Linked DNA regions of Alligator mississippiensis. The protein of the gene in region 2 purifies or fractionates together with the protein of the main gene of each other region. This does not show direct contact. Links are inferred from orthologs where the notes say so. Each region holds a gene or a part of one and is shown on either strand. Other genes may lie near its edges.

Evidence for each region.
Region 1: the proteins of PTP4A2 (region 2) and CNNM2 purify together in Homo sapiens (affinity purification with mass spectrometry; 4 studies listed by BioGRID and IntAct, counting the BioPlex papers as one, with this or other methods). This does not show direct contact. The link is inferred for Alligator mississippiensis from reciprocal best matches to the Homo sapiens genes PTP4A2 and CNNM2.
Region 3: the proteins of PTP4A2 (region 2) and CNNM4 purify together in Homo sapiens (affinity purification with mass spectrometry; 6 studies listed by BioGRID and IntAct, counting the BioPlex papers as one, with this or other methods). This does not show direct contact. The link is inferred for Alligator mississippiensis from reciprocal best matches to the Homo sapiens genes PTP4A2 and CNNM4.
Region 4: the proteins of PTP4A2 (region 2) and RABGGTB purify together in Homo sapiens (affinity purification with mass spectrometry; 3 studies listed by BioGRID and IntAct, counting the BioPlex papers as one, with this or other methods). This does not show direct contact. The link is inferred for Alligator mississippiensis from reciprocal best matches to the Homo sapiens genes PTP4A2 and RABGGTB.

What each region holds. Positions count from the first base shown.
Region 1 is NC_081829.1:99,037,685-99,045,581, forward strand, and holds the start of CNNM2 (metal transporter CNNM2), read right to left. Parts: upstream 3,015-7,897; 5' UTR 2,899-3,014; coding exon 1,347-2,898; intron 1-1,346.
Region 2 is NC_081829.1:5,801,939-5,808,977, forward strand, and holds the start of PTP4A2 (protein tyrosine phosphatase type IVA 2), read left to right. Parts: upstream 1-4,031; 5' UTR 4,032-4,152; intron 4,153-7,039.
Region 3 is NC_081830.1:10,489,279-10,496,427, reverse strand, and holds the start of CNNM4 (metal transporter CNNM4), read left to right. Parts: upstream 1-4,147; 5' UTR 4,148-4,275; coding exon 4,276-5,530; intron 5,531-7,149. Other genes in the region: LMAN2L (VIP36-like protein), read right to left, coding at 104-136, 967-1,049, 2,071-2,188, 2,497-2,615, 2,923-3,103. UniProt on the Homo sapiens protein: Probable metal transporter. The interaction with the metal ion chaperone COX11 suggests that it may play a role in sensory neuron functions. May play a role in biomineralization and retinal function.
Region 4 is NC_081828.1:22,511,323-22,519,043, reverse strand, and holds the start of RABGGTB (geranylgeranyl transferase type-2 subunit beta), read right to left. Parts: upstream 3,015-7,721; 5' UTR 2,937-3,014; coding exon 2,934-2,936; intron 1,845-2,933; coding exon 1,737-1,844; intron 1,721-1,736; exon of another isoform or gene 1,477-1,720; intron 1-1,476. UniProt on the Homo sapiens protein: Catalyzes the transfer of a geranylgeranyl moiety from geranylgeranyl diphosphate to both cysteines of Rab proteins with the C-terminal sequence -XXCC, -XCXC and -CCXX, such as RAB1A, RAB3A, RAB5A and RAB7A.

The DNA.
Region 1 (7,897 bases), about 93 Mb from region 2:
AACACCGTTAAATTAGTAGTGGGTCAACCAGAGAGAGCCCTTCAAAGCCTAGCGTGCAGATCAAACACAGCCTACAAATTTTATTGCACAGAAGAACTCTTGAGTGCAGTTTACAAAGTTCACCCGAGTGTCAGAGTTACCTTGAGAAAAGGTTAACTCAAATACTCCCCATTTACCTGGCTGTGGTGTTAATACAATGGTAAAGATCTCCTCCTTCAGGAAGGCTCTCACGGGGACTGAACTTTTCTACAGTACTTTGAACGAGGACATGATAAACTTCCCCCACCGCAGACTACTCCGAGTCTCCCAGCACGGGACCCCACAAAATGGGCAAGGTTGGAGCATCTTCCCACCCCTTGCATACAACCCCTTGAAAAGGTTTCCCTGCGTGCTGCAGCTGAAAGAGAGGAACAGGTTTTAGAGTTATTGAACGATTGCTTGCAACAATAAAAAACGCACAATGAGAAGTTAAGAGGCGTCTACCAGGAGACCCTCCCACCCTTCCCCTTACGCCCCAACCAAGGAAAAACTGAAAAGCCCCAGGCTAACCATCACAAAAACCACAGTCCAGTTTTGGTTAGGCAACAAAGCGCATGCTACTCCACACAGCAGGGAGTGCACAGATACAGAAAAAACCATATCGACATGTGGCTCAGCTTGTGGTTGCCAGGGCAAAAACGAGAGGAGAGGGGAAGGTCTGTAACGCCGGCACGTGTAATTAGCAAATCAGTTAGAAGTGAACTGTAAGGCCCATGGTTAAGGAGGAGGGAGAAAAAAAAAGCCCCAAAGCTATTCACGAGCTACAGATCTGAAGCATCAATGAGGACAGCCGCGAACTGCACACAAGCATGCACCAGGCAGAGCGAGCCCGGCTGCACTGGTGACGGGAATTCAAAAGCCTTGTTGATCTCAGCACGTGCATGTGCGCGAGCAAACGGCCTGCAAGACGCTCGTGACCTATATCACCCACCCGCCCCTCTTCCGACATACGACCAGCCTACAGGGCTGGAGATGCCACCACGGAGGGTGCAGACCCATGGCAGTACCTGCCGGCGGATGAATACAGATACACAAAAAAACATTCAGCCAAAAAAGACTGCATTCACACACATGCACCCCCGGCTTGACAGGAAACAGACACATGCCATCACCAGGTGCACACATCAGGCGACAGACAGGTGCTTATCTCCAAATTGCTCCACTTCTACTTCCAGTGGAGACGGCAGAGTGAAAGAGCTCCCCAAAAAAGGTAGCAGCCCTCTTTTCTTAGGCCAGCTCGGCCACACATTGTAACCGGGCCGCCCCTCATGCCCCCCGCCCCTCCGATGCACGGCGGCGGTCCCCACCTTTCTTGAACTCCTCCAGCATGGCATCGAGCTTAGTGTCGTTGAAGACAAAGTGCAGCGGGTGGTTGTAGAAGCGGGTGATGGTTTTGAGCGGGGTGCAGTCGTCAGGGTCCACGAAGGCCAGGTCCTTGACAAAGAGCAGGTCCACGATGTTGGAGCGGTCACCCTCGAAGACGGGGATGCGGGTGTAGCCGCTCTCCATGATCTCCGACATGGTGTTGAAGTCCAGCACGGCCTCGGCGGCGATCATGAAGCAGTCCCGCAGGGGCGTCATCACGTCCTCCACCGTCTTGGTGCGCAGCTCCAGCGCCCCTTGGATGATGTTGAGCTCCTCCTTCACCAGGTCGTTGTAGGGGTCGGTGACCCGCAGCATCTCCAGCAGCTTCTCCCGGTTGTAGACCGTGCCGATCTCCTGGCCCAGCACGCAGTCCAGCAGCTTGCTGACCGGGTAGGAGGCCGGGAAGGTCATCATCATGAAGAACTTGGTGAGGAAAATGGTGTTGGCGCCCACGGCTAAGCCGTGCCGCGAGCAGATGGCCTGCGGCACGATCTCGCCGAAGATGACGATGCCGATGGTGGACACCACCACGGCCACCAGCCCCGAGCCGGCGATGTCGTCCAGCAGGATGGTGAGGGTGGTGTTGACCAGCACATTGCCCAGCAGCAGCGAGCACAGCAGGTAGTTGCCCTGGCGCCGCACGGGCTCGATGCGCTTGGCGTAGTTCTTCTCCTTGTCCGTGCCGCAGTTCTGCACGATGCGCAGCTCCATGGGGTCCAGCGCCATGAGCCCCAGGTTGAGCCCGCTGAACATGCCCGAGAGGCACAGCAGCAGCGAGATGAAGATCACCTGCAGCCAGAAGGGCAGCAGGAACTTCTTCTCCTCGCCCACGATCATCTTAGTGTCCTCGCCGTCGTGGTAGATCCACGTCGTCTCCGTCCAGCCCGGCCCCTCGGCGGCGCCCAGCGCGCCGGGCGGCGCCGCCACCGAGGTGCACAGGTAGTACGACTTGCTCTTCTCCGTCTTGCGCAGGGGCTTGATCTCGATCTCGATGATGCCCGACGTGCGGCGGGTCTGCAGGATGCGCGGCAGGATGATGATGTCCGACGTGCGGATGCCGCAGCGCTGCGGGGCCGGGGGGCCGCCGGCGGCACCGCCACCGCCGTCGCTCCCGCTGCCGCCACCCGGCCCCGGGCCGGCCCCCGGCGCCGCCGCGCCGCGGTGCCGCCGCTCGTGCTCGGTGAAGGCGATGCGCGACCACGTCTCGTTGTTGATGTTCTGCCCGTAGACCCGCAGCTTCACCCGCGTGCGCTCGCTCACGCGCAGCGCGCCGCCCTCCATGAACGACACGTCGTCCGTGTCCTCCAGCCGCAGCCCGATGATCACCGTCTCCTCAGGGCCGGCGGCGCTGGCGGCGGGGGAGGCCAGGGCGCCGGGCGCGAGCTGCTCGCCCAGGCAGTGCCCGCCCAGCAGCAGCAGCGGCAGCAGCGGGAGCGGCAGCGGCAGCGGCAGCAGCGCCCCCCGGCCGCCCCCCGCCCTGCGGCCCGGCGCCATCTTGACTCCGGGCTCAGCCCCGCCGCGGCCGGGCGTCGCGGGGCGGCTGCTGCGGCTGCGGCGGCCGCTGCGGCATCCTCGCTCGGGCCCCCTCCCCCCGCGCGGCGCGGCGCTGCAGCTCCTGCCCGCCCGCCCGCCCGCCTGCGGCCGCTGACGGGCGCCGACTGCCGGGCCCCGCGCGCCGCCCAGCCCACCCCGACGCCGGGGGGCGGAGCCGCCGCCGCAAGCCGCCAATGGCCGCAAGCCGGCCCCGCCCCCGCCGCGCGTGACTCCGCGTGTGGGGCCGCAGGCGGCGCAGCCAATGGCCGCGCCGCGCTGGCGGCGGGAGGGCGGGGCCGGCCAATGGCTGACGGGGGACAAGGCCGGGGGCGGGGGGGGGGGGGAAGGGGGCGGTGCTGCGCTCCGGGAAGGAGCCGCGGCTCCACCTGGCGGCCGCGCTCGGGGCGCGCTCGGGGGGCGGGCCCGCGGGAAGCCCCGCCCCCACCCCTCCCAGCCGAAAGGCGACTTTTTTCTTTTCATGTTTTTTTGCAAAAATAGTTTTTTATCTACAGAGAAACACGGCTGTGCGGGCGAGTCCCACAGCTTTCAGCACACCGGCGTCAGCAGCTGGAGAACAATTTTTAAGCAACCTTTATATATATATACACACACACACACACACACACACACACACGTACGTGTGTGTGTGTGTGTATATATATGTGTGTGTGTATGTGTGTATATATATGTGTGTGTGTGTGTGTGTATATATATATATATATATATATATATATATATATAAAGGTTGCTTAAAAATTGTTTTCCAACTATTGAAGTTGGTCTAATATATGGATATATATGGATATATATATACACATATATGTGTATATATGTATATATACGCATGTATATACACACATGTGTGTGTATAGATGTATGCATGTATTGAAATATATGTTTAAATGTATTGAAATACATGCTTAAATATTTACACTTAAATATATTTAAAGATACACTTTAAGCATGCATTTGCATGCTCAACTATGGACTTTAACATATTCAAATGTGCACTTGGGTATTTAAAGCTATGTGCCTATTGGAATAGTTCGCATATGTTGAGGTGTACGTATATATATATATATATATATATATATATTTACGTCCGCACGTAAGTATGTTTCTGGTGAAGTGCGAGTTATTTCCTCCAAGCGCTGCTGGCGAGAGGGAAGTTAAGCAGGAAATCCTGAATTTGCGCTGGCGCTCGGTCCCTGGATGCAGCGTCGGCTTGAATCGAGTAGATCATAGGAAACGTTATTTTCCGAGGACACTGGCTACACGTGACTGCCTGGGTAACATCCAGCCGTGCGTTGTTTCCAGGGGCTGAGGTTTAACATTTGTTCTGGCAGCAGATGAGACTTCAGATGCCGCCTGCGTTGCCGACGTGCCCTGGCAGAGGGCCAGGCGCGGGAGCTTGCACCGAAGCCGTTCACTTTGGGGGCAGATCAGCTCCAGTCCAAACCCCAATGCGGTGGGCTCATCTCCTGTCCCAGCCTCCCCCTCGGTGTCTTAGACTCAGAGAAAACGAGGCTGGAAGGGAGTTCAGGAGGTCACATCTCGTCCAACCCCTGCTCAGAGCAGGACCAGCTCCGACTACAGCATCCCAGACAAGTCTACCCAGGTCTTCAACACCTCCAAGGTTGGAGACGCCACCACCTCTCTGGGTAACCTGTTCCAGTGCTTCACCACCCTCCTAGTAAGAAAGTTTTTCCTAATATCCAACCTCAACTTCCCTTGCTGCAGCCTGAGCCCATTGCTCCTTGTCCTGTATCTGCCCCCACTGAGACCAGCCCAGCTCCATCCTCTTTGCAGCCCCCCTGCAGGGAGGTGAAGGCTGCTATTCGATCCCCCTCGGTCTTCTCTATCCCCCATGTCATTGCTCATCACTGCTCTCCCGTCAGGACAGCTGCCCTACAACTCATTCAAACTGTCAGATAACTTCTCATCCTTTGCTCCACTGAAGGGGTTTTGCTGTTCAAGACCCCTCTGTGGTTTGAACAGCAGGGAAAACACAGATGACGGGACGTCCAAAGCCGTATAGAGGGGGATGGAGGCTTAAGGGAGGCCGTGGCAATGAGCCGCACGGGAGCAGTTTGCTTTGCAGTCCTGGAGCCACCTATTGCATTGCCCGGCCTTGCCGTTGCGCCTGGCTCCAGAGGAGCGAGGCTCTCATGGTACCAGCGCTCCTCTCCTCTTGCTAAGCAGCGCCAGCTCCGTGAGCAAACGATGCAGCGACAAGGGGGTCGGAAGGCTTACTTTGCGAGGGGCGTACAGAGCCGCAGGGAAAGACTCTGCTGGAGTACGGAGCACCAATGTCCAGCGGCAGAAACAGGAAAGGTTGCGTTTGGGAGCCAGCCATCTCTCAGGGATGAGTTTCTTCCGAGAAGCAGCCCTCCCTGGCCGTCATGATTGACTTTGCAGCTCTATTACAAACCTAGCAGGGCCCGCGTGTGCGTGTCATGACAATGAGGCGATTAAAAATTAACCTCCGGGCTCCCGACTGCTGCGGCCCCCTCCCCTCCCTGCTGCGCGCGCGGCCCCCCGCACCCAACATGACATTTCTTTGCCTATTGCGCTCCTGCGGGCCGAGCGTTTAATATTGATGAGAGCCGCTCCTCTGATGGAGGCTAGTTAGCGCAGGGCCCAGGCTTCAGCTGCCCAGGGTCCCTCCCTCGTCAAATTAGGCCGGGAGTTATATGCCAAGAATTACCATCAATGGGACGAGCTCTTTGTATCTCCCACTAGGGAACACTCGGAGCCTCCTCGTGCTCTCTGCTGGGGTCACTCTGCATGCAGTCATAGCTAGTCTGCAGAAGAGACTGGGGGGGATTTGAGAGCAGCCTTTAATGACCGGAAGGGTGATTACAAAGAGGATGGAGCTGGGCTGCTCTCGGGGCGGGAGGCAGATGGCAGGACAAGGAGCAATGGGCTCAAGCTGCAGCAAGGGAAGATGAGGTTGGATATTAGGAAAATCTCACGAGGAGGGTGGTGAAGCACTGGGACAAGCTACCCAGAGAGGTGGTGCACTCTCCATCCTTGGAGGTTTTGAAGACCCAGCTAGACAAAGCCCTGGCTGGGATGATGCAGTTGGGGCCGGTCCTGCTTGGAGCAGGGGTTGGACTAGATGTGACCTCCTGAGCTCCCTTCCACCCTCATTGTCTGGAAATGGTAGAAGCATTGCCCGCAGATGGAGGGCAGTGATGCTTCCCTCTATTCAGCACCGGGGAGGCCACATCTGGAGTCCTGTATCCAGCTGTGGCCCCCACGACAGAAAGGATGTGGACACGTTGGAAAGAGTCCAGTGGAGGACAGTGAAAATGGTTGTGGGCTGAGGGACAGGACTGGTGAGGAGAGGCTGAGGGAACTGGGCTGATTGAGTCTGCAGAAGAGAAGACCGAGGGGGATTGACTAGCAGCCTTCACCTCCCTGCAGGGGGGCTGCAAAGAGGACGGAGCTGGGCTGGTCTCAGTGCAGGTGCCAGAACAAGGAGCAACGGTCTCTGGTTGCAGCAAGGGAAGTTAAGTTTTGATATTAGGAAAAACTTTCCCATGAGGAGGGCGGTGAAGCACTGAAACAGGCTCCCCAGAGCAGTGGTGCAGTCTCCATCCTTGGAGGTGTTTAAGACCCAGGTAGACAAAGCCTTGGCTGGGATGATGCAGTTGGGGCCGGTCCTGCTTGGAGCAGGGGTTGGACTAGGTGTGATCTCCTGAGCTCCCTCCCACCCTCATTTTCAATGATGCTATGAAAATACTTTTAGGCCCTGATTCAGGAGAGCCTTTAAAAGCATGTGCTAAACCCACTGAAGATGCTCCTGTTTCCTGAGAGCAGTACATTTTGCAATTCCCCCTGCGGAGGAGGTAAGTGTCGTTATCTCCATTTAAAAAAAAAAGAGGCACAGAAAGCTTAAATAACTTAACCGCGATGCCACAGCAAGTCTGCAGCACCCCGAATCGCTCCAGCCTGCTGGCTACTCCCGTATCTCTGAATTAGACGAGCAGCGCCCCAAGCACCCGGCGCCCTGGGAAGGGGGTGAATGGTGCCGGGGCGCTTTGAGGAGCACAGCTACGGCACCTCCTAAGAGAGAAGCTGAGCGGCCAGGTTTGCTTTCTGGGTAACGATCTCGTGACAGTTTCTGAGATGTGCAGCAGGCTCGTGGCCCCAAAGAGCTCCAACCGGAGAGCCGTCACCTCCATTCCCAGCGGAGGAGCCGCTAGCGCAATGCCGGAGGTGACAATGCAAGACGGATAAAGTCCTGTTAGCACTTCCTCTCCGTTCTCCCGAAAATGCAAAGAGCCCGTGGAAACAAAGTCATGCAAATTCGCTGGCATTTAGCAGTGGCCTTTTCACGTATGCATGCTGGGATGGGGGACCACCCCCGGCTGGAGCTGCTGGGGCATCTGAAAGGCTCGGGCAGGGTTTCATGGCTTTTTAATGAAGTGGCTCACAGGTGGGGAAAAGCTTAAATCCGCTCTTTCATTCGCACCCTGAAGATCTCCTTTGATAAGAAGAACTAATTGCAGTAGATGTGCCAGGATAGGGTGCCGGCATTTGAGCAAGTCCTTGCGAATAACAGCAGGAGGGGGATACGACTGGGGCGTCTGTTTGCAGGGGAGGAGAAGGGGAATCTTAGGCCCCGAGCCTTGATCTTGTTATCGGATGCATCTTCTGATGCATGTGCCCTAGCTAGACAGCAGCTGAGACCAGCTCACGCTGGCACCCAGTGCGACCTACCTCCATTCCCCCTCTGACAGCCCCAGGCCCTTCAGCCTCCCAACATCGTGAACGGGGGGACCTGCACGCCAACAGGCAATCATCCGCCAGCTTGCCCCTGGCTCTGCAGCCTGACTCCAGCTCCATCGCCTCTCCGGCCCAGATGCCTGGGGCTGGCACATGCTGCACTCAGAGGCCCACGCTCTCTACTCTGTCTCCAGACACCGAAGCAAGTCGGGAAAGTCTCCCGTTA
Region 2 (7,039 bases):
CCTATCATTCAGCACTAGTGCTTCAAGCTCCCTGCAGACTCAGGAAGGTAAATGTGGACCAGTTCCATTGGGGTCGTGTTTTCAAGGTTTCCTTTGCAACCACAGCTGTTAGCAGAAATTGCTGAAAGGAAACAGAGATTGCTGCAGCAAGGATTGGATTTTGTGGCAAATCCCACAGCTGGGGGATAGTCGGGGCCGGTATTATACCACGCTTGTACCACCCTAAATAATTCTTCCCCTCGCTGTTGTTTACTCTATCAATGTATCTCCACAGTCTGCTTATGAGCTGAGAAAAGCACCTGGCAAGCTGCTGCATCCTCTTTATACCCTGCTCTTTTCCCGTGCTCTCCATCTCCCGTAATTGCTAGCTGCTGACTTCTAGCACAAATCAAATTGCTTTGTTTGGTAAGCAACATAAACCATGATTTTCTCCAGGGTTCACAGTCATTTGTTTTTTCTTCCTCCCTGGCAAGATTTTCTCCCAACAGTGACCATTATGTTGTATTTGGCTTTTGTGCTGCAATCATCTTGTGTTGGCTAACATGTGGTTTCATGTTTTTTATCACAGGTTACAGCACTGCCAGTTTCCTCCTGATCTCGCCTGCATGCTAGATGTGCTGCCGACACATAAAGATGCCTCTAAGAGCAGCAGGTAAAGAACTGTATGTATCTAACTTCAGACAAAGAAATGCCCCTCTTACCTGCCCTTATATTCTCTGCACGTGGGATCTCAACCGACATTATGTATGACACCTGCTGGGAGATGGGCAAGGAATACAATGGCTGTATTTCAATGAATGCAAAAAGCTGCGGCTTTGACTACAGCTTTTAAGAACTGACTTCTTGTTTCAATTATCAGTCATGACAATGCTTTCCTCTACAGTAAGGCCTCCAAAATTACTGAACAGAATGGATCTGCTTTAAGAGCATGTGTTTCGCATATGTCTCTGTATTCAAAGACATTCTGTGACCTCTCTCCTGCCAAAAAATGTTTCTAAACCGCAGCTATTTTTTGGATGCAACGTGGTTAAGAGCACAAGGTGGCATCACATATCCTCAGACAGGCATTGAGGAACAGCATCTCCAACCGAAATTGTTTAATGGAAGCAGGATGCAACTACCTGAGCTGGAATTTCTCTCAGACACTGTGTTTTTGGAATCAGATGTCCTGGATTCAGGATGTCCTGGATTCTTCCCTTGCTGTCCTGTGTAACGAATATAACCGTGTTAGCTGACGGGCCCAGAATCTTTTTAATTGCTCTGCTGCTGCCTACCATGGCCCTGTTCTGTGAATAATAAAAGGGAGTTCATTCTCCAGGACGGTTGTTCTGATGCTTCGTAACAGTACCACTAAACCGACTCATTCAGACACATGCCTTTGGCCTGTTGGTTGTGAACCAGCTGAATACATCCCCAGGGCCATCTGTGAAATGCTGCCCTGATGGAGAGGCAATGCTGTCTCTGAGCTGGAAGAAGCAAGCAGGAGATGCACAAAGTTTGATGAGCAAGTGTTTCTGAGAAGATGATTACTGCAAGATGAATGTGATGTTTTCATATACAAGAAGGGAGCCAGAGAGGCAGATATCTTTGCACCACTCTCAACTGCAGAGGGTGTGGTGAGGTCGGCTTCCCTGCCTCTGGTGTGGCTCCTCTCTTTCTCTCTGTCTCTCAGTCCTGCAAGGTTGGTTCCCACAGGAAGGTAGTTCTTCTTCTAAGACATTATCTCTAAATGAGCGTGGAAGTCATTACAAAATTTCATCGTCCTTGAAAATAACCCCATAGCCTTTTGCATATTGCTCTGTTCAAATCCTGGCTCCTTATATTCCTGGATTGTTTCCTGTGCTCTCCTAATAGAGGGGAATACTTGGGCTGATAGCCCAGCTTTCTCTGTCATTACCACTCTGGGCATCATAGTCGCATGGTGACCCACTTCCAGCACCTAAAACTTAAAAGACTAAGTGATTCCCCTCTCCTCTGTCTGGCAGAATTTCAGCAGCAGATATGGAGTCATGCTAATCTTTCTGTCATGCTTGGTATTTTCCTGCCATGGGCTGGGCTCATCACATCATTCTCGTTTTTCCACTTTACCCGAGAGGCTCCCAGTTTTACTTCCACGGGTTTTTTTTTGCAGGCAGGAATCCAGAACTCCCATTTCTACACAGCTGACAAATTAGCTGGATAGGGGAGGAAAGAACACAAAGTTCGTAGCATCTCAGGTGAAGCAAGTCCTCCCACGTAACCCCCATCTTATGCTGGGAGCCCAACTTACAGAAACAAGTTAACTTGTGCTCCCTCCATCAGTTGGTTGCGGCATATAACGGCCACCTCCATCTTCACCTACACTTGTGATTCCCAGCCAGGGTGCCTTGAGATCCGTTCAAGGGTGCCGCAGAGCATTAGCACAGCTAGGTGTCCAGACCTGATTCACAAGACCAGTTCAGAGATTTCCAACAGGACTTCATAGTTTTAAAAGCATTCTGACCTGCTGTGATCTTTCTGAGTTCTTTGCAAATAATTGCTCTATTATTTGTCTGTAGTCAAAAGATGAGCACAAACTACGAGCTGGCATTTTCCAAGGGGCCTCGAGTCTAACACTGGGTGCCTTGAATCTGAAAAGGTTGAGAACGACTGACCTACACTTTTCTTACGTATACAGTACGGCCGGCGCTGCACACAGTACCGGTCAGGTTCGAAAGAATATCCAGGTCCCTGCCCAAAGGGATGACAGCGGGTCCCAATCTTTTTGGAGTCAGGACTTCAAACCCACTTTCTGGCAGGCTCAAAACCACAAACTAACTGCCCTTCTGGGCTGAGTGCAGCCAGGGTAATAATCTGTGTGGTTCATAATCCCACTGGCAAGGGCTACGAACCCACTCGGGGTCATGACCCCTAGTTTGGCAACAGCCGGCCTTAAGGATTTCCAGTCTGCAGCTGAGGCGTTGGGACATCTGGACTGTGTTCTTCACTGTCCCCATGACTCGGCATCTGGCCTTGAGCAATGCAGTTCCTTCCCCCGCATAATGGGATTTATATTTCTGTATTCAAGAGCTCAGCTTTCAGGGCTGCAGGGACAAACTGTTACACCGGCACAGGACAGGAGTAACCCCGTTGTTACATCACTGACGGCAGCAGGATCCAGACTCCCTGCAACCTGTGATACCGCTAGTGTTCACTTCCCGCACCCCAGGCGAGGTAGCCCCCCTTCCCCGGGTGCATCCACAGTGCTTCTTGGCTCCTTTCGAACTCTGTTCTCTTATTGCAACCCCTCCATGGACACAGGAGAGCTGCACATGTGGCGCTGTGCCTGTGCCTTTCATGCACTGGGCATCAAACTGGGGCCTAATGGGACAGATCCCCGCCCAGGTCCCTATCCCTGCCCCTGGGGACACGCACAGAGCAGCAGGGGCTCTGGGAGGGTGTCCCCCGGCCCTGTGCCCTGCAGCAGTGACCTCAGCAAGCAAAGGTCAAGGCAGGGAAGGGAAAGGGGAAGGGGGGGAAGGGCAGGAAGTGGATCAAACCAAAGTACTGCTCTGCAGGGGGGGTATACCAATGCCAGTATGATGGGGAATGGAACTTTAAGGGGGAAATGGGCCATACCAATCGTGTGATGGGGGGGTGAATGGAGCATACTAAGGCTAGCTGAGTGGGGGGTTGGAAAGGAGAGGAAAAGGCGTCATAGGCATTCCAAAGGAGGGGAAATGGCTTGTACCATTGCTGCTTTGAGGGGGGGAGGTGGGTTCTACCATTCCTACATTGGGCACGTACCAATGCCAGCGGCGGGGGGGGAAGAGACGGGTTATACCATGAGGAAGGCGGTGCCGTGCGAGTGCTGCCGGGAAGCGAGCGGACCGTACCAAGGGCGAGGGGTGTCGCGGCGGGCCGTACCAAGCCGGGCGGCGGTGAAGGGGGGGCGGCGGGGCCCGCGGGCCGCCCCGTTCGGGGCGCGGGGGGAGGGGTGGGCGGCGCGCGCGGAGCCGTTGGCGCGGGGGGAGGGGCGGCGTCCCGCGCGGGCTGCGCCACGGGCGGCTCCCCCCGCCCCGCCCCGCCCGGCCCGGCCCGGCCCGGCCCGTCCCCTCCCGCCGGCCCGCGTGGGAGGCGCCGGCCGCTCGCTCCCCGCTCGCTCGCACGGAGCCGCCGCGCTCGATGCCCGGGGTGAGCCGCCGGGGCCCGGAGGGACGGGGCGGGGAGCGGGGCCTAGGCCGGCGGAGGAGCCCCGGCCCTTCACGTTCACCTCGGGCAGGTGGGCGCCGTCACCTGCCCCTGCCTGCCCGCCCGCCCGGCGCTGCCTCCAGGGGCGCGGCTGGACTTCGCCCGTCCGGCCGGCCTGTGGCGCGGGGCCGCTCCCGCCGGGCGGGCAGGCGGGCGGGCGGGCGGGTGTCCCCCCCCACCCCCCACCGCCACGGGTGTCCCCGGCCGCCCCTCCTCCGCCTGGGGGCGACTCCGTGGGTTCCTCAGACTTGAGGGATAATGCTCTCACTTACTGATTTGAAATAACGGCCGGGGGGCGGGAGGGCGAGCGAGCGAGCGAGCAGTCTGTTGTGTGCTAGGCCCGGCGGGCGGGGGGAGACGCTTCATGTGCCAGCTTTATACTTTGCCCACCTTTCCGTGTTCGCACGCTTCCTGCGCGAGCTTTGCCCACCTTATGCACGTCCACGTTTTTATTCGCGAGCTTTGCCCTCCTTGGTGCACGTCCAAGCTTTAGCTGCGGGCACTGCCCAACTTTAGCCGCGGGCACGACCTGTCTTAGCAGGATCGAGTCGGCAGCTTATTGGCCCGTCGAAGGTTCGGCGTCTCGGTGTCGCCGTTATTGTCGGAGGGGGTTTCGTAGCAGCCTTCAAGCCCCCAAAGGGGGTTGAGAGGGGATGGAGCTGGGCTCGGTGGCGGATGACAGGACGAGGAGCCGTGGGCTCGCGGTGCAGCGAGGGAGGTTGAGGTTGGATGTTAGGAAGTGTTTTCTCACGAGGAGGGTGGTGAAGCGCTGGAGCGGGCCACCCAGAGAGGGGACGGACCCTCCATCCTTGGAGGGGTTTAAGACCCGGCTAGACAAAGTCTTGGCTGGGATGATGTAGTTGGGGCCGGCCCTGCTTTGAGCAGGGGGTTAGACGGGACGTGACCTCCTGCGGTCCCTCCCAACCTCATTTTCTACGATCCTGTCGCCGGACGTGCATGCGAGCACCTGCAGAACCGGGTGACTTGTTTTTTGACACACGACATGCCGGTGGTAGATTAGACCAGATCTCTCTCTCAGCAAGCATCGTGACTGATAGTGACCACCGCCAGATGCTTCAGAGCAGGGTGGAAAGAATATTACAACACACAATTAATTAACTATCGCAAGCATGGAGGTTTTTCTATCCCCGTCAGTTAACAGTTTACGGCCTGAAGCGTGAGTGTTTACATATCCTGATTTTTATGTCTAATCCTTCATTTAAGCCCAGTTAGCTTTGCCTTCCATATCATCTTGTGGTAAATGAACTCTGTGATTAAATTGTGGTGTGGGGCGCATGACAGGTTTCTCATTAGTTTCATTGGATGTGTGCATTTGTGCGTTACAATTGTATGAGTAGAGAGGACTGGCTACTTCTGTCCTCACCTCTTGTTTCCATCCTTTCTATACTAAACCGTGCTGTTCTTTGCAGCCTGTCATACAGAAAGCCTGGAATAATTATTGTTGCACGTCCTCAGTGTTAACAGTTGCCTCCTCAGCTTAACCGAACTGTAGATGGAAGTTTCTGGTCTTAGATTGAATGTGGCTCTAGGTCTTTCCTGTCTCCAGTTACATTTTCTAGATGTACTAGAAAGTTATCCTAAGTTCATCAAAATGAGCTGAGTTTTTTCTTCCTGTGACTTTTCTGAATAATTCTCTTAATTGTGCAAAGCTGTCATTAAGCTGCCTGTCCACGTGATCAGTTAGTATCACTAATTTGAGAGACTTGTCATTTTACGTCTTACGAGCAATACCAATTTGTGTTGCCAAAGGAAATGGACACGGAGCTTTTGCTGTCTGCAAAATGCGGCACTTTGTGCAGTTCAAACATCTCAGCATCCTTATGTTGCAAGGGGCTGTTAAAACCGTCAGGCTCCCACACTTCGACAAAACTTCAGTTAGTTGTATCAAAGGTAACTACTGGGTTTTTGCAATTTAAACATAGCTCTGGGGATTGCTAACATGGATAATTTTGAACTCCTTACTGCTCTTCATTAGGTGGACCATTGCTTTGGGCTGTTTTAAGGCATTTTTATTTTTAGGGGCCCTAGTTGAAATAAACTGGAGACATGACTTAAACAGCATTCAAATGCTCCCCTGTGAACTGGTTTTGAGTACAGATGGATGTGGTTAAACCGCTTAAAAAAGTGCAAATTGAAACATTTCTCTTTAGCAAAAGGATGTACCTAATTTTCTTTGAAAACCCAAACTGAGTATCTGTTCATTTCCCAGTGTTGGATTAGCTAATAAGATGTTCTCTTCTATGTATTTGGTGTTGGTTGTAAATTATTTGACCTCACCCAAATTCTGGAAGGGAAGATGAGCTATTCCAGTCTTCACTGAAGTTTCAATGTGAGAACAGAGCCGCGCTGAGAAAAGCGTCGTCTTGGAACTCCTGACACTGCTTTTATTTTTTTATTCTCTCTTGCTGTATTTTTAAATTGGGAGTTTAGTCTCAGCAGTGAATATTTTTTCTTACTAATGCAAGCTGCAATCTGTTTTCTGCCTTGTTTTAAGGCCTAGGACGGTGTGACTAGGTCCAGCAAAAGGAAATGAATGAGTCATCAGCAGCAAACTTGTCAGCAAATCAGGAGGGAACTCGTAGGCGGGTGGATAGGGAGGAACAGTAGAATTTCTTGACCTCACCCCCCTCCCCATCTGCAGGCACGTGTCATTATGAACAAGCTTCCTTCAGAGATTAAGAATTTTTTTTTCCAAGAAACTGTGGAACTAGTAGCCTGTTTGCTATGCAGAGAGATGACATATCTTAGAGAGAACTGTCATTAAGCAAAGTCCTTCAGAACTCAAATTCACCCATTGTTTTAAAGTTGA
Region 3 (7,149 bases), on a different chromosome or scaffold from region 2:
AAACTCCCCCCTCCAACCACGAAAATCAGGGAAGCCACAGTCGCATGCAGGAGAGGCTGAGCACTGGTATAGCCCTGGCAGCTGCCCCCCCGTGAGTGGGTACCTGATTTCCAGGGGTATAGCGCCTCTTCTGAGCCTGAGTCCCCAGGGGGAGTGCAAAGCAAAAGAGGTACAGAAGCGAGACAGTCACAAATCTCAGACCCTCCAAGAGAGGCCATCTCAGGAAATGCAGAGCCAAGGAAAGCTGCCCTAGCCCCAAGACCCTGGCCACGCTTCCTTGGGGGTCCCTTCCAGTCTGTGGAGCCAGGCAGGAACCTGAAAGGCTGGATCAGACTCAGGCTGGGCTAGGAGAAGGGTTCCCAGTTCTCCAGAGTTGCTGATCTGTGCGCTGAGGTCAGAGGCAGCCAGACCCCAGGTCACAGAGAGACAAGGGATCCTGCCACACACTCCTGGACAAGGGCCTTCCTGGAACCAAGTGATACCTTTGTTTGGGGCAAAAAGCAGCCAGAAAGATGCCCCTTAGCTCATGGATTCCCTTCCCTACTGATGCCCCAGAGAGATCCAGACTAGAGGACAGGCCCATGCTAGAGCAGAGCTCAGCGCATGATGGGATTCAGAGGCCCAGGAGGAGATCCGAGGTGCTGGCACAGGCAGTGGGAGTCCAGGATGTGCCTCCAGAGTTGAGGGCTCTGTACTGCAAAGCGGGCTCTACCACTTCCCTCTTCCCAGCCTGGCAGTATCCCCTGCCCTCAAGGGGTCAGCACTCACTCTCTCTTCTCCCCCAGCTGGCAGCCATGTCTATGTCTGTTGCTCTTGCTCTGAACATAGAAGGGGCCATAGATGGCCACCACGCATGGACAAAGCATCAGAGGAGGCAATGGGAGAGAGAAACTCAGGAGAGAGGCAGAGGGCCCCACAGGTGCCAAAAGCCATAAGCCAGCCAGGTGGCCTCCCAGTGCCCCTCACCTCCTGCTGCTTCTCCTCATTGGGATATGTGTCCACAAACACGCCCAGCCCCAGGAAGTTATCCTTGCTCCCGAAGACGGGTCCTGCACGAGGGGGGAGGGAGAGAGAGATTGTCAGCCATCTGCCACCCTATGTCGTTCTGGACAGGGCCCTGAAGTCACACCCCGAGGGTAAACCAAGTCACGAGCCCCATCAGGAGCCACAACCCAGTTCATCCACCTGACACGCAGAGAAGCCTCCACTCGGCAGTGGTAGCATTCAAAGGCCAGTCAGACCACGTGGCTGAGGTCAGTGACCCAACCTGTACTGCTTAAGAGAGAAGCTGTACCCTGGAGGCACATAACCCCACCAACTCCTGTCAGTGCTCTGAGCATCCAGAGCACAGAGTAGCCACAGGGGGTCCAAAGCTGCAGAGTCGAGGGAAGCAGTGGACTCTCCATCACTGGAGAGATTCAAGGAGAAGTCAGACAGCTGCTGGGCTGGGATGATCTAGGCATGGCAATGCCTGTGTTCTGCTATGGGGCTTCTGGGCTTTGCTGGTTGTCCTCCCTGCCCCACGTAGCAGCAGACAGGGCGGGTTTAAACCTTCCCCAGAGGTACTGGGTGCTGGCTGCAGCCCAGGCTGGGAATGGGGACTGGGCTGTGGCAATGCTCCTGCTGGGACTCAACCCTGGGGGTTCCTGGCTGGAGAGTCTTGCTGTCTGCTCAGGCTCAGACTAATGCTGCATTGGGGTCTCCCCTGCTCAGACTGGTACAGACTGGGAGGGCTTTGCCTTCCTCTGTAGCGGGGGCATGGCTTCTGCCTGGGATCATTTATCATCTGTTAACCACCTTTTACAAGACGGTGGCTGCCCTGGTCCCCCTGTTTTCCCTGCAGCAGGGTCAGGACCGATGTCTGGTGTGGCACCAGGGCTGATGATTATTTTGCGGAGAGTTTAGATGATGGACATGTCTGGGAAGGTTTGGACGGGGCTGCCTCAGGCAGGGGGTTGGCCCAGCTGTGACCTCTGCCGGTCCCTTCCCGCCCCACTTTTCTTGTGAGTCTACAATTGTCTCCCCATGTTTCGCCACCACCTTCCTCAAAGCCACTCCCTGGGCTAGCACCTGTCTGCATGCGGTCCTTGGTGTACCAGAGGGCGAACCCATCGCCGTTGAGGTTCTTCTTGCCCTGGCCATGGATCTTGAAGTGGACCTGCATCTCCCAGTCCCGCAGGTAGCAGGGCTGTGAAGTGGAGAGCATAGGCATGGTCAGGGGCATGTGGATACCACAGGCCCAATGCTCCCTGGCTCCAAGGCAGGTCCCTTGGGCATCACGGCCATGCAGCCAGCACCTTTACACCCCAGTGTCTGGTTTCCTCACAAAGCAATTATCCCCCAGCGAAGCTCATTAGGAGCAGGGAGTCCATTAGATCAAGGAAACAAAGGGAAAGTGAAGGGGGGGGGGGTCCTATTCCTCCCTGCTCTGCATACCGGCCCGAGTCCAGGCTAGAGCTGACAGCCAGCCCCTTCATCCCGCGCTGCAGCACTCACCACGCGGTTCCAGACGGCGCCCTGCCGGCTCTGCTGGTCAGGCGTCAGGCGGATGAACTGGGTCATGACCATGGCGTTGCCCAGCAGGTCCCAGAGCGCGGAGCTGGATGAGCCCACGCCTGGGGGCAGGGAGGGAAGCATCTGCACCCACTGTGGCCTGGGGGGCAGTGCCTGGCTTCCCCCAGCACTGCGGGCTCAGCCCCCACCCTGTGACCATCTAGCTGCCCCCCAAGTGCCCTCAGCTCCGCCCCTGGGAAACAAAGGCCCGCCCCCACACCCTCAGTTCTCGCTTGGGGGCCGCAAGCCCCGCCCCTTTACCCTCAGTTCCAACCTGGGATCCCCTAAGCTCCACCCCGTCATCTCAAGCCCCGCCCCCAAGCCCCCCGTTCTCCCTGGGGGGGGTCCTAAGCCCCGCCCCGCCCCCACCCTGGTATGGCTTGGTGAGCGAGTGCTCGCGCTTGAAGTGCTCCTCGGTCTGCTCGGCCCGCGCCAGCACCAGCGTCGCCAGTAGCAGCGGCAGGGCAGGGGCTGGGGCCAGGCGCAGCCCCACACACCGCAGCCGGCCCTCCGCCGCCATCTTGCCCGCGGCCCCGCCCCGCGCGCTCATTGGTCGCCGGGGCGCCCGGCCTCCGCCGTCATTGCCCCTCAGCCGCGGGACTCCGCCCCCCCACCAGAGCGGTGCACGGCCATTGGCGGGGGGCCCGCCATCCCCACGCTAGGAGGGGAGGGGCGCTGCCGCGGGGCATGCCGGGGAATGGAGTGCGGATAGGCACTTCCTGTCTCGGCCGGCCCGTCTTAAAGAGCTCGAGTCCCCTCCCCCCCCTCGGGAGCCGGCGGCGGGTGGCGACAGAGAAACAGTTGCCGGGCAACCCTGATGTGAGGGGGTGGTTGCCTAACAACGGACGGCGTGGTGATGGTTGCCGAGTGACCCCCCCACCTGCCTTTTGCCATTGGAGAGGGCGGCTTAGGTTTGACATGGCAGGTTGCCGGTGACCCTGGTGTCAGTTGCTGAGCAGCGGTAGGGTCGCAGTTGCTAGGCGACCCCTGGTCCTGGTGGCATGGTGACGGGTGCCGTGGTGTCAGGGCTGTGGTCGCCTGGCGACGGGAGTAGCGGGCTGGTGGGGATGCCCGGGTGATGGTGGCTTTGCGTTGACGTGGTAACAGTTGCCAGGTAACCCCGGTGATGGCTGCTTAGCCACGCCATGGTACTGGTTGCTGGGCAACCCGCTCCCCACCCCCCCACCCCCTCTCCGGGGTACCGGGCAGGGGGTGCTGCCTGTGACAGCAGGGTTGAGGCGGGGGCAATGGCCCAGCGCCGCCACGGCTCCTCGGGGCCGCCTGCTCTGTTGCCACGGCAACACCATTCCGGGTACGGCACCGGTACAGCGGGGCGGCCCGGCCGCTCCTTCCCCCCCGGCCCCGGCCCCGGCCCCGGCCCCCTGCCGCGGATCGATCCGCCGCCTCCAAACAACAGCGCCTCCGGCCGCGACTCAGCTCCGCCCCCCGCATCAGGGCTGCCGCCCCGGCGGCTCTTCCCGCCCCTTTCTCGGCGGCGGCCCTGAGGGGGCGGGGCGGGGCCGGGCCGGGGGGGCGGGGCCGGGCCGGGCGGGCAGTTGGCGGCGGCGGAAGATGGCGCCGGGCGCGCCGCGGCGGGGGTCGCGGGGGCGGGCGCGGGGCGCCGCGCTGGGGCTGGCGCTGGGGCTGCTGGCGCTGGCGCTGCTGGGCCGGGCGGCGGGCGCGGCGGGGCTGGGCGCCGCGGGGCCGCCGCGCGTGGTGGGCATGCGGCTGGAGCCGGAGGCGCAGGCCCCGGGCCTGGCGGCGGGCGTGCAGGTGGGCGAGGGCAGCCACGTGGCGCTGCGCCTCTTCGGCCTGGGGCTGCCCGCGCACACCTGGGAGCTGGTGGCCTTCGCCGAGGCGCCGGGCAGCGCCAACGCCTCGGGGGCCGCCAACGCCACGTGCGCCGCACCCTCGCCCGACGTGGAGGTGGAGCGGGGCACCTGGGATGCGGGCGAGGCCTCGGCCGTGCTGCGCCTGCGGGTGCGGGCGCTGCGCAAGCGGGAGCGGGCCAAGGCCTACGTGCTGTGCACGCGGGCCGCACCTGGGCAGCCGTGGCAGCGCCATGCGGGCGCCGAGGGCCGCCTGGTGGTGGTGGAGGAGAAGCGGTCTCTGCTGCCCACGTGGCTGCAGGCAGCGCTGCTGGCGGCACTGCTGGCACTGTCGGGCATGTTCAGTGGGCTCAACCTGGGCCTGATGGCGCTGGACCCCATGGAGCTGCGCATCGTGCAGAACTGCGGCACAGAGACAGAGCGCCGCCACGCCCGCCGCATCGAGCCCATCCGCCGCCACGGCAACTACCTGCTGTGCTCGCTGCTTCTGGGCAACGTGCTGGTCAACACCACCCTCACCATCCTGCTGGAGGACCTCATCGGCTCCGGGCTGGGCGCTGTGGCTGCCTCCACCGTGGGCATCGTCATCTTCGGCGAGATAGTGCCGCAGGCCCTGTGCTCGCGGCACGGCCTGGCCGTGGGTGCCAACACTGTCGTCCTCACCAAGTTCTTCATGCTGCTCACCTTCCCACTCTCCTACCCCATCAGCAAAGTGCTGGACTGCTTGCTGGGCCAGGAGATCGGCACCGTCTACAACCGGGAGAAGCTGGTGGAGATGCTGAAGGTGACAGAGCCCTACAACGACCTGGTGAAAGAGGAGCTGAACATGATCCAGGGGGCCCTGGAGCTGCGCACCAAGACGGTGGAGGACGTCATGACGCCACTGCATGACTGCTTCATGATCCCCGCTGAGGCTGTGCTGGACTTCAACACCATGTCAGAGATCATGGAGAGTGGCTACACCCGCATCCCCGTCTACGAGGATGAGCGCTCCAACATTGTGGACATCCTCTATGTCAAGGACCTGGCCTTCGTGGACCCTGACGACAGCACACCGCTCAAGACCATCGCCAAGTTCTACAACCACCCCGTGCACTTCGTCTTCCACGACACCAAGCTCGACGCCATGCTGGAGGAGTTCAAGAAGGGTAAGGGTGCCACACCGTGCCAGGGCAGGCAGGCGGGCAGGCAGAGGGTTTGTGGGGGGGGGGGTGTCCTGGCCTGGGGTCACTGGGGTCAGGCCTGGTCTGGGTTACCAGCGTCTGGTCTGGCCTGAGCTTAAGCTGACTGTGGCCCAGCCTGGGGTAACTGGTGTTGCTGGAATCGGATAACTAGGGCAGGCCTGTTCTGAGCTACCCTGGGCCTGGCCTGGTCTACGATAAAGCGCATCTGTCTGGACTAGTCTGGCCGGGCCTGGGGTAACTGGACTCTGGCCAGCCGGGGATTGTCCTCCCTCTAGATGCCTGGCAACTCCTGGGCAGGCCCCAACTCCCTGCTGGGGCTCTAATGAGGCAGGGACCTGGTACCTGCCCAGGGCCGGGGCAGCTCTGGCTCCGGCTCCTTAGACCCCCGAGTGTCTCTGCTGGGTGCACCTGTCGATTCCTGGGCTGGGAGGGGGGAATCTCCCTGGGCAAGGTCTACCCCACTCCGGCCCATCCTTCGGCTCCAGCCAGGCCTGGGTCCAGCCCCCTGAGGGTCCATGCCTCAGCCTCTCCTGCATGCCCTAGCACACCCGAAAGTGAAAGTGCAGCGAGGAGAGATAGGACTGACTTCCCTCACCCCGGAAGTAAAAGGAGCTAGAGGGGGTGGGGGGCAGGGAGCTGTTAGGGGGTTAATTTTGGGGGGGGCTGACAACACAACTGATTTTCCCCCCTAACCAGACAGTTGCTGTGCTTTGATCTGAGCCTGGGGTGGGCACCCTGTGGGCTGTGGGGTGGGAGCAGGTTCTTAGCCCAAACTTGCTGGGGGTCAGTGATGCCCCAGCCTGTGCAGGCTACATGATGTGGCGTGGCCCTGGCCTAACCCAATCCCTGGACTGACACCCCCCCCACCCCTCCCCAAGGAAGCCATGGGTGCCAGCCATGCCCAGATTTCAGGGTTCTCTCCCCAGGGTGTTTCCCTGCTGGTTGGGGTCAGGTTGAGGCTGGCTTGTTTCAGGGATATGCTGTTCTACTGGCTCAGGTCTACACTTGCCCACTCCAGGCAACATGCTTGTGAGAGCAGCCAGGTCCAAAGGTCCTGGCAGGCACCTGGGAGCACCACCCCTCAGGCCCCCCCCCCCCCATGGTGCGGGCACAGCCGGGCAGCAGCCTCCACCCCAGAGCAGCTGGGGGATGTCCCTTTCTGGCCTCAGTTTCCCTCTTCCCAACTGCAAGGACCAGAGCATACCTGGCTGTGGGGGGCACAAAAAGGGGAGGGGGTGGCAGCTGGCGTGGTTCTGCCCATGGTGAGCTCACTTGCTATGAATAGCCCCACAGTTAGTGTGACTTAAGCTGTAATTATGGGCGTCTGGGTGGCTAGGGGGGTGTGGGGGGGGCATCCGCCCCAGCCTGGCAGGGCTCCCATAGCAGTTTGGAACAGGAAGTAGAGCAGAGGGGCTTGATGGGTTCCTTAGTGCCTATGGGGGTGGAGGCAGGGGGCTTTGCCTTGCCTTGCAGAGGGGGCAGTCAGTGCAATGCCCTGCAAGACCCCCAGTTAAGGGTCCCCATCAGCCAGAGGAGGAAGCCTGGGGGTGGCTGCAGCCTGGCTGGCCCTGACCCGCACAGGG
Region 4 (7,721 bases), on a different chromosome or scaffold from region 2:
AGAGGTGCACCAATACATTGGTCCGATATCGGATCGGTACTGATATAAAGAAAAATGGCTGTATGGATATTGGCCCCATAAATGCCTGTGCTGCACACAGCCACAGTACAGCACTCAGGAAGCAAGAAGCAAAGCTAGTAACGTGGAGAGCTATCTCCAGCTGTTAAGTCCAGTGTAGTGGAAGGTGAGAAGGGAAGGGATGCTGGACACGCACGTGCGCGTGGGCACGCCCCCCCCCCCCCCCCGTGGTGAGGGAGGGGCAGGTGCTGCCCAGATGAGCCAGGGCTGCAGCTTGATGGGGGGGGAAGAAGGCAGCTCCTACCACTGCTTGCACGCCATGATGGCAGGGTGGGGGGGCATGAACCCCTGGATCTGCACAGGGCAGGCTGCAGCCAGGGCTGTGAGGAGCTCTTCTCGGCAGGGGCTGGGCTCGGAGGAGGTGCTGGCAGCACTGGGAGGATGCTGCATCCACCTCAAATTCTGCTGACGCTCCGCTCCCAGCACTGCCTCAGCTCTTCCTGGCGTGTGGGTGGAGGCAAGGCATTGAGCAAGGGCTGTGCTGGGTGGCTGGCAGCACTGGGAACAGAGCAGCAGTGAAATATGGAGTGCGTGCAGCATCCTCCCAGTGCCACCAGCGTTCACTCTGAGCCCAGCCCCCCACTGAGAAGAGCCCCGCACAGCCCTGGCTGCAGCCCACCCCACACAGATCTACAGGGCACACGTCCCTGTGCCCTCCCAGGGTGCAAGCAGTGGTGGGAGCCGTCCCTCCTTCCCCCAAGAGCCAGGGGCATTGATCTGCTCCCTGCCCCATATCCCTTCCATCACACCAGGCTTACCAGCTGGAGGCATCTGTATTGGAAATCTGATTGGAATCAGCCAATACACCTTCATAAATATTGGTTATTGGTATTGGCCCCCAAAATCTCTATTGGTACACTCCTACTAAATATAGCCATGAATTCAACAGCTAACTTTCCCTAAACTTTCCATCTCAAATGGCTAAGGCACAAGGTTAAGTTACCTACCCATCCTTATGCAACAAGCTTGGCCCAGACCACTAGCTAAAATTTTCTTGGCTAAAGGTCCTTTGCTTACATTACCTCCACAAATGCTCCCTCAGCAGTCAATGAATGATATTGCTGCTAACTGCCAAAACTAAAGAAACACAAAGTAGGAACAGTAAAAGAAAAATCTTGCATTTATCTGAAGCCATTATTATAATCCTTCTCAAGTCACCTGTACCCATGATTTTCATATGGCATTTGTTTTATAGTTGTTTATATATTACTTATTTTGCTGTATGCATCTGGCATAAGATAAATTTCAGCTATGATCAGAAATACCAATTTTAAACTAGAACTGAAATCTTCTAGCGAATTCAGATTAAATCTAGCAAGCCAGCAAGTTTTGGACAGAGATTTGCTACAGTAGATAGAATAAAACACATTTAAGATCAAGTTTTTTTTCACCACTCACCTATTTAGCCTAGTAAGCAAATTAGTACATTTCCCAGGTCTCAGAGTAATTCTAGAGCTAAAGCAGTAATCTTCAACTTTAGTCAGATAATACATGCCAAGGCTCATCACTGACCTAGGAAAACTACCATTACCACTATGCAAAACTAAATCCTTCTCTCTTTTGCACCATAACACAAGAAGCCTCCCACCCTGTCCGTTCAAGAAAGGGCAACATGCAGCATTTCTAAGAGAATGGGAAAAATAACAGTTGCTACATACATAGTCATCTTTTTTTGTTCCATAGGAAGCTATATAGTCTGCATGTTTCTCCAGAAGCAGTGTGCTTAGGGCATCAGGTTTTATTATAACATCTTTTTGTGGTGTCCCCTAAAAAACAAAAAAGCAAAATAAAAATCAAATTCTGAATTGTTACCGGGTAAGCGGGTAAGGTCTTTACCATCTAACACAAGGGTTAGCAATGTTTTTGACCAGAGTGCTAAAAATACACCAAGTCAAGGCATAGGCCAGGGTTGGGATGCCAGGGGCAGATCACAGGGGAGCCATGAAGGGCCCAATCCTTGTTGCTGGCGGTGGCTGCACATGCCTTTGGGTAGACTGTGTGGGAAGGGCAGGGTTGCACTGCCCTGCCCTGCCCTGCGCACGAGATGCACGTGTAGCCACCGCCTGGCAGGGAGCTGGTGCTGGACCCCTGGATCCCGCTGCGAACGGCTGGCTGCCTGCCCCAGCCGGCCTGGGCTCTAGGCAGTTGTGGCAGACTGCAAACATCTGCCCTGGGCTCTGGAGCACTGGCTGCATGTGGGCCTCTGGGCACAAGATGGAGAAGGGGCTGCAGCAATGCAAGCCTGGCCTCTCCCCTGCCACCCACCCAGAGCTGCACCTGCTGCCAGCCACCCTTGCAGCCTCCCAACCACCTGCTGCAAGCAGCCCCTGCTCTGCTCTGCGGCCGGCAGCCACCGCCCAGCGCCAGGTGGCTGTGATGTGCGGACCAAAATGGCCTCCGTCCCCTGCTCTGGCACGTGGTGGGGGTAGCTGACCCCCGCCCTAACGTTTTTGATAGTGGCTTTCAACAAGACAGAACAGAAGCAGCCACAACGGCCGCACCTCCTCTCGTTTTGTCCCCTTCCTTCCCCCGCCCCCCTCCCCAGACACCCCCCCTCCCCCGCCCAAGCGGTCACGTCTCCCGTCACCGCCTCTTCCAGTTACAGGAACAAGGACTCGGCCCAAGGCGGGAGGGGGAACCCCTCCGGCAGACGTGCCATAAATGAATCCCCAGGCGCTCCCCGAGGGCCACCGCGCCCCCCACGCCTGCCCGCACTACTGCTCCCCGCCGCCACCGGGGCAGATCCCTCGTGGAAGCGCCCCCTCGCCCCGGGAAGCGGAGGCCCCGGCCCCGGCGAGCCAAGCCCGGCCCAGGGGACGAGGCCGCGCCCGCTGCGGGCGGCGAGAGCAACCCACCATGTCGGCGGCGCCCGTGGGCCCAGGGGAGGAGGCGGCGCCCCCGCCCGCCCCCGCGCAGGACCCGCCAGAGGTGTCTGCGGCGCTGCCTGCACAGCGGCACCAGCGCCAGGGTTCTGCCGGGTGGGGCGGAGTCCGGCTGCTGAGCAGAGGTGGCTGGCGCGCTGCCTGCCCCGAGCGCCGCACGAGGACCCCAGCTGCCTTGCGCAAAACAGCAGCGCCCAGATGACTCTGCCCCCCGCCCCATGGGCGCTCGCGCCCTATTGTTTTGCGCCTGCGCGGTGGGAGGAGGCCGCCCGCGCCGCGTCACAGCCGTGATGCGCCAGTTCTGCAGCCGGGAGAGCAGCGGGCCCTTCAGTCCCGGTTACAGCCGTTATACGATGACTTGGTTAATCAGGCAATACGTTTGGACGGGCCGCACAGTGCGAGGTATTGTCGCGGGATCAACACGGCCGTCCAGTTATAAAAAAAGAAAACCGGCGACAAAGTTAGTGCTTAAAAAAGTGCAGCCTTATGGCTGGTTTCCTGCTTCCATTTGAACCTGTGGCAGGGCCCTCCGGGGCTAACTGCCAAGGGGACCCGCAGGCAACACCCTGCCTCCTCAGCTGTAGGAATGGCTCAGGGTCCTGTGCTGCCGCCCCACTGGGGCCGTGCTCTCGGGGCCTTTGCTCTTTTAAAGGCTGGTATTTCCTTGGCATCTCTTGTCATCTGTTCAGGCTGCTGCTATCACCCTGATGATATGTCATAATCCCACCTGAGTTTAGCGTGCTTTAATTCACTTTAAAAGTACTCCAGAATTTACAAAACACTTTTTGCACATGAGCCTAGAAACTTCACTTCAATCTACCGGATACAAAAAATTATGAACCAAGTATAGACATTGGACTTATGGTGCATTATAATCCGCCTGCCGTCCGATAACCCTAGGTAACCTCTACGACATTTTACCAACAATATTCCCCTCCTTTCCCCCCACCTATTTATTGTCTCCCATTCCCTCAGATCCTCACTGTCATGTATTTGCATTTCCACAGACCTACATTTTCCATATTGGCTTCTATTCCACCATGGAGACATGGGCAGACAAGGTTCCTTGGGTTCCTCTGCCTATATCCTTAGACCAACACGGCTACAACCTAAACCCCTGCACCATGGAGACATGACATTTCTTTTCTACCTAAAACTTTTACAATCTTTGAATTCTCCTCAGCCTGAAGAAGGGCGCAGGTATCCGAAAGCTTGCAAAGAAATGGCAAAGAAAGCCCCTTGCAGCTCCCCTGCTGTCTGCCTCCAGCACACCAAATTGAGGCATGGGTAAAAGTTGGGGAATTTTTGACGCTGGCCAAAAACATTGCCAACCCCTGCTCTATAGAATTTCTAGCTGAGGAAGTGAATCAAATAAGAGCTGAACAGTTATGTGCAAAGAAATGAGAATCTGCAGATTTGCTGCTCTAGTTTTCTCAGTGTTGGTGCACTCTGTTGGGCAATCTCTCAACACAGTAAACTACAGGCAGTCCTTGGACTTAAGATGCGGTTTTCAGGAACCAATTGTGTCCTAAGTCAAAACGCAGTCCTTGGACTTAGGACGCAGTTGGTTCCTGAAAACCACGTCTTAAGTCAAAACATTGCAACTCAGAACCAATTTTCTCATAAGAAACAATGTTATAAATGTGGGATTGGTTCCTGAACCAAGGCCCGATACCCTATTTTCACCAAAAATACCCCAGAATCTTGTACTCGATCAATTATATGAGTAATATAGCTACATTAATGTATTTATACTGTAAATAGCAATCATTGATTTGCAAGGACTTCTTTGAAGCGACTTTGCTGGACTTTTTGAAGGGCTCTTGGTTGGACTTTTTGAAGGGTTCTTGGCTGAAGTCTTCTCAGAAGTCTTGGCTGCAGGTTTTTTTGGAGTCTTGTCTGTTTTCTTAAAGTGTCCAAGGAAGTTTGGACAGATGTTTTCCAGGGAGATGAGCAACGCAGCAAACTTGTTCGCTGGCGTAGTGTCGCATCGGATCAAGCATTATAAAGTCAAAACTGACATCATAAAGTTGAAACAGGGTGTCAAGTTATAAATGTTGTAAGTGCGAAACGTAACTCGAAAAGTTCTAAGTCGAGGACTGCCTGTACACAGTTTGGCAAGTCTGTATTAGAACACAGAACTCTAGACCAGAAAAGATGCAAAGAAGATTTTTCAATATTTTTTTGCAATATTTTTCTTGAAGTCTCAGAAGGAAATGGCATTCTTCCTTTGCTAGAATAAAATGCTGATTATTGCAACTGTACTATTAAGCTGTCTGTGTGTTATACACCAAAAGTGGGCACACTCTCAAAACAGGATAAAAAGATATGTGATTATAAGTTTGCAAAGTACTCAGGGACCAGTCAGGATGAAAAATTTTATATAAAATGTAAAGTAGCATGTAGAGCTGTGCCAAGAAAGGAAAGTCTGCTAAATGTGAATTATGAATGTTGTGTTTCCCTATCTGCATCACTTCAATAACTTTGCATGATGGACTTTCTCCAGCTAGATCATTTGTAATAACAAGATTAAAACACACAAGGAAGTCAGTTACCTGCACTATAGATTGAATAGATTCTCCTCTTTGAATTACATCAAGCACAAAAGGCAAAAAAAATTAAACAGACCCATCAGTACTTTTGACTTTGGATATTACATTTCAGTTGGTGATTTGCCATAATAATGAATCACCCTCAAAAGAATCTGTCCAAGAAATTAAGTAAATAGGCATCTGAGAATGTGATCAAGAAACATCTGTCACTGAACTAAACATCTCAAAGGAAATTGCCCCGTTCAGCAGTTTCTGCCACACCTATTTCTATGTTTGGACTGATGGAAGAAATGACAGACTGCAAATGCTGAATGTACAAGAAACAAGATTATGTAAGTCACTGTAAGGCAAGTAAGCACTAAATAATCTCACAGATTTCCCAACAGAGCAAGCTCTAAAAGAATGCACAGCTTTGTGAAGTGGGAAGAAGAAGCAATCTCAAAGCATTTTGGTGGAAATCATTCTGTTTCCTTTTCCATTGCCTGTGTGACTCAACAAGTTAAAAGTTTAACTGAATTTCAGGCATGTTATGGTTAACCAAGTGAATTGGATTGATGAATCTTCTAAAGCAGTGGTTGTCAACCGAGGGTACACATACCCCTAGGGGTACTTAAAAGAGTTATAGGGAGTACGTAGAACTGATGTGGCTTCTGAGAGCTGCAATGGGGAAACTCCCCCTGGGCAGTGAGATCTGCCACAGGGGAACCCCTCCCCCCACGGGTCCCTTCACCCCTGACTAAGGCAGCACGATTTGCCCGTGGTCCAGGAATTATGTGAGAGGCAAAGATTTTTGGGGGTATCTTTTACTGGACCATCTGCATGGTTGGAATAGTTAGACAAGCTTTCAAATCCAAGTATTCTTCATCAGGAGAGCCCCGAGTTTGTCTCCAGTGCTGCCACTTGCCCCAAGGAACAGAGCAAGGTTACTCTGAGATAGCTTCCTACCCAGTCAGCTTCAACTCCCTTACTGGACCTGGCAGCAACAGTAAAGAAATGTCAGCTCCAGGTGCCTCCTGCTTTAGGGTAGGAAAGAAAATTGGGGGACAGTGATTCGATCTGTTGATTTGGATCATTGTCCCGATTTAATTCAGTCGAATCTGAATCTGAAGATTCAATGCCAATTCGGAGAATCAGCAATTTGGCCATAGACACAGCTTTAAATGTTTTTTCTACATAGTTTGAGGTACCAGGCACGGCTCACGAAAGCTAAGATGGTGGGGTGGATGGAGTGTCCCACAGGAGCACAGCAGGGGGCCCTGTGTGCTCAGCGGCAGACCCGGAAGTGGACCAGAAGTACTTGCCAGTCCACTTCCAGGTCTGCCAGGTCCCCCCCCGGCTCAGCAATCAGCCGTGGGGGGACCCTGGGTGCCCCCCCAGACCCAAGAGGCACTGCTAGGTGCAAGCTTTCCCCTGTGCCCACTCATGTCCGGCCAGTAATTCCAGTTAATAGAATTCCCGGTTACTTAAATGCCAGATAACAAAGATTTTACTGTAATTTTTATTTGCTCTCTTCTGGATTCTCCATGTAGTTCAGCTCTGGGGTGCTCAAAACTGAACACAGTGCTTCTGTTAAGGCTGGTTGGGGGGAGGGTACAGATGAGTTTGTCATGCCCAGTCTAAACTGCTCTTAAAAACACCCAAGGAGGGTGTTCCACAATCTGTGTAGGTAATTTGCAACTTGTCCAGCTTCTCTTTAATAAAACCATACATAGGGGTACTGGCAATAATATAGTAGTAGTTCTCTGTGTTTTTCCTTATTCTGTTTCTTCCTTTGGATAATTTTGATTTTTGTAGCTGTGACAACTTAAGAACACTTTGAATCGGTGCCAAGTGCATAGAAAAGCAGAAAAAAATGTTTTGGAATAGCTTGACCACCACAATGTAGAGATGTATGCCATTAGTATAATCTAGCCTACAAATTGGCAGGAATAGTCCCCTGAGAATATCCTCCTCCCTAGCTACTACGGAGCTAACAAAAGGCTCATTCCTAGCCCCTTGCCAAGGTGGTATATTGGCAGCGTAGCACATCTTTTTACAATATAACTGCAAAAAGTGAGAGTTCAAAATAGATAAGTGACCTTCACTTTGTAGAATATTTTGGGGCTTTCCAGTACTCTTATTATCTTGAATTATATTGCAAATTAGATACATGACTGCTGGCAAAAAGCTGAAGCCATATACACTAAACTCCAAAAGCAGAGATTTTTTT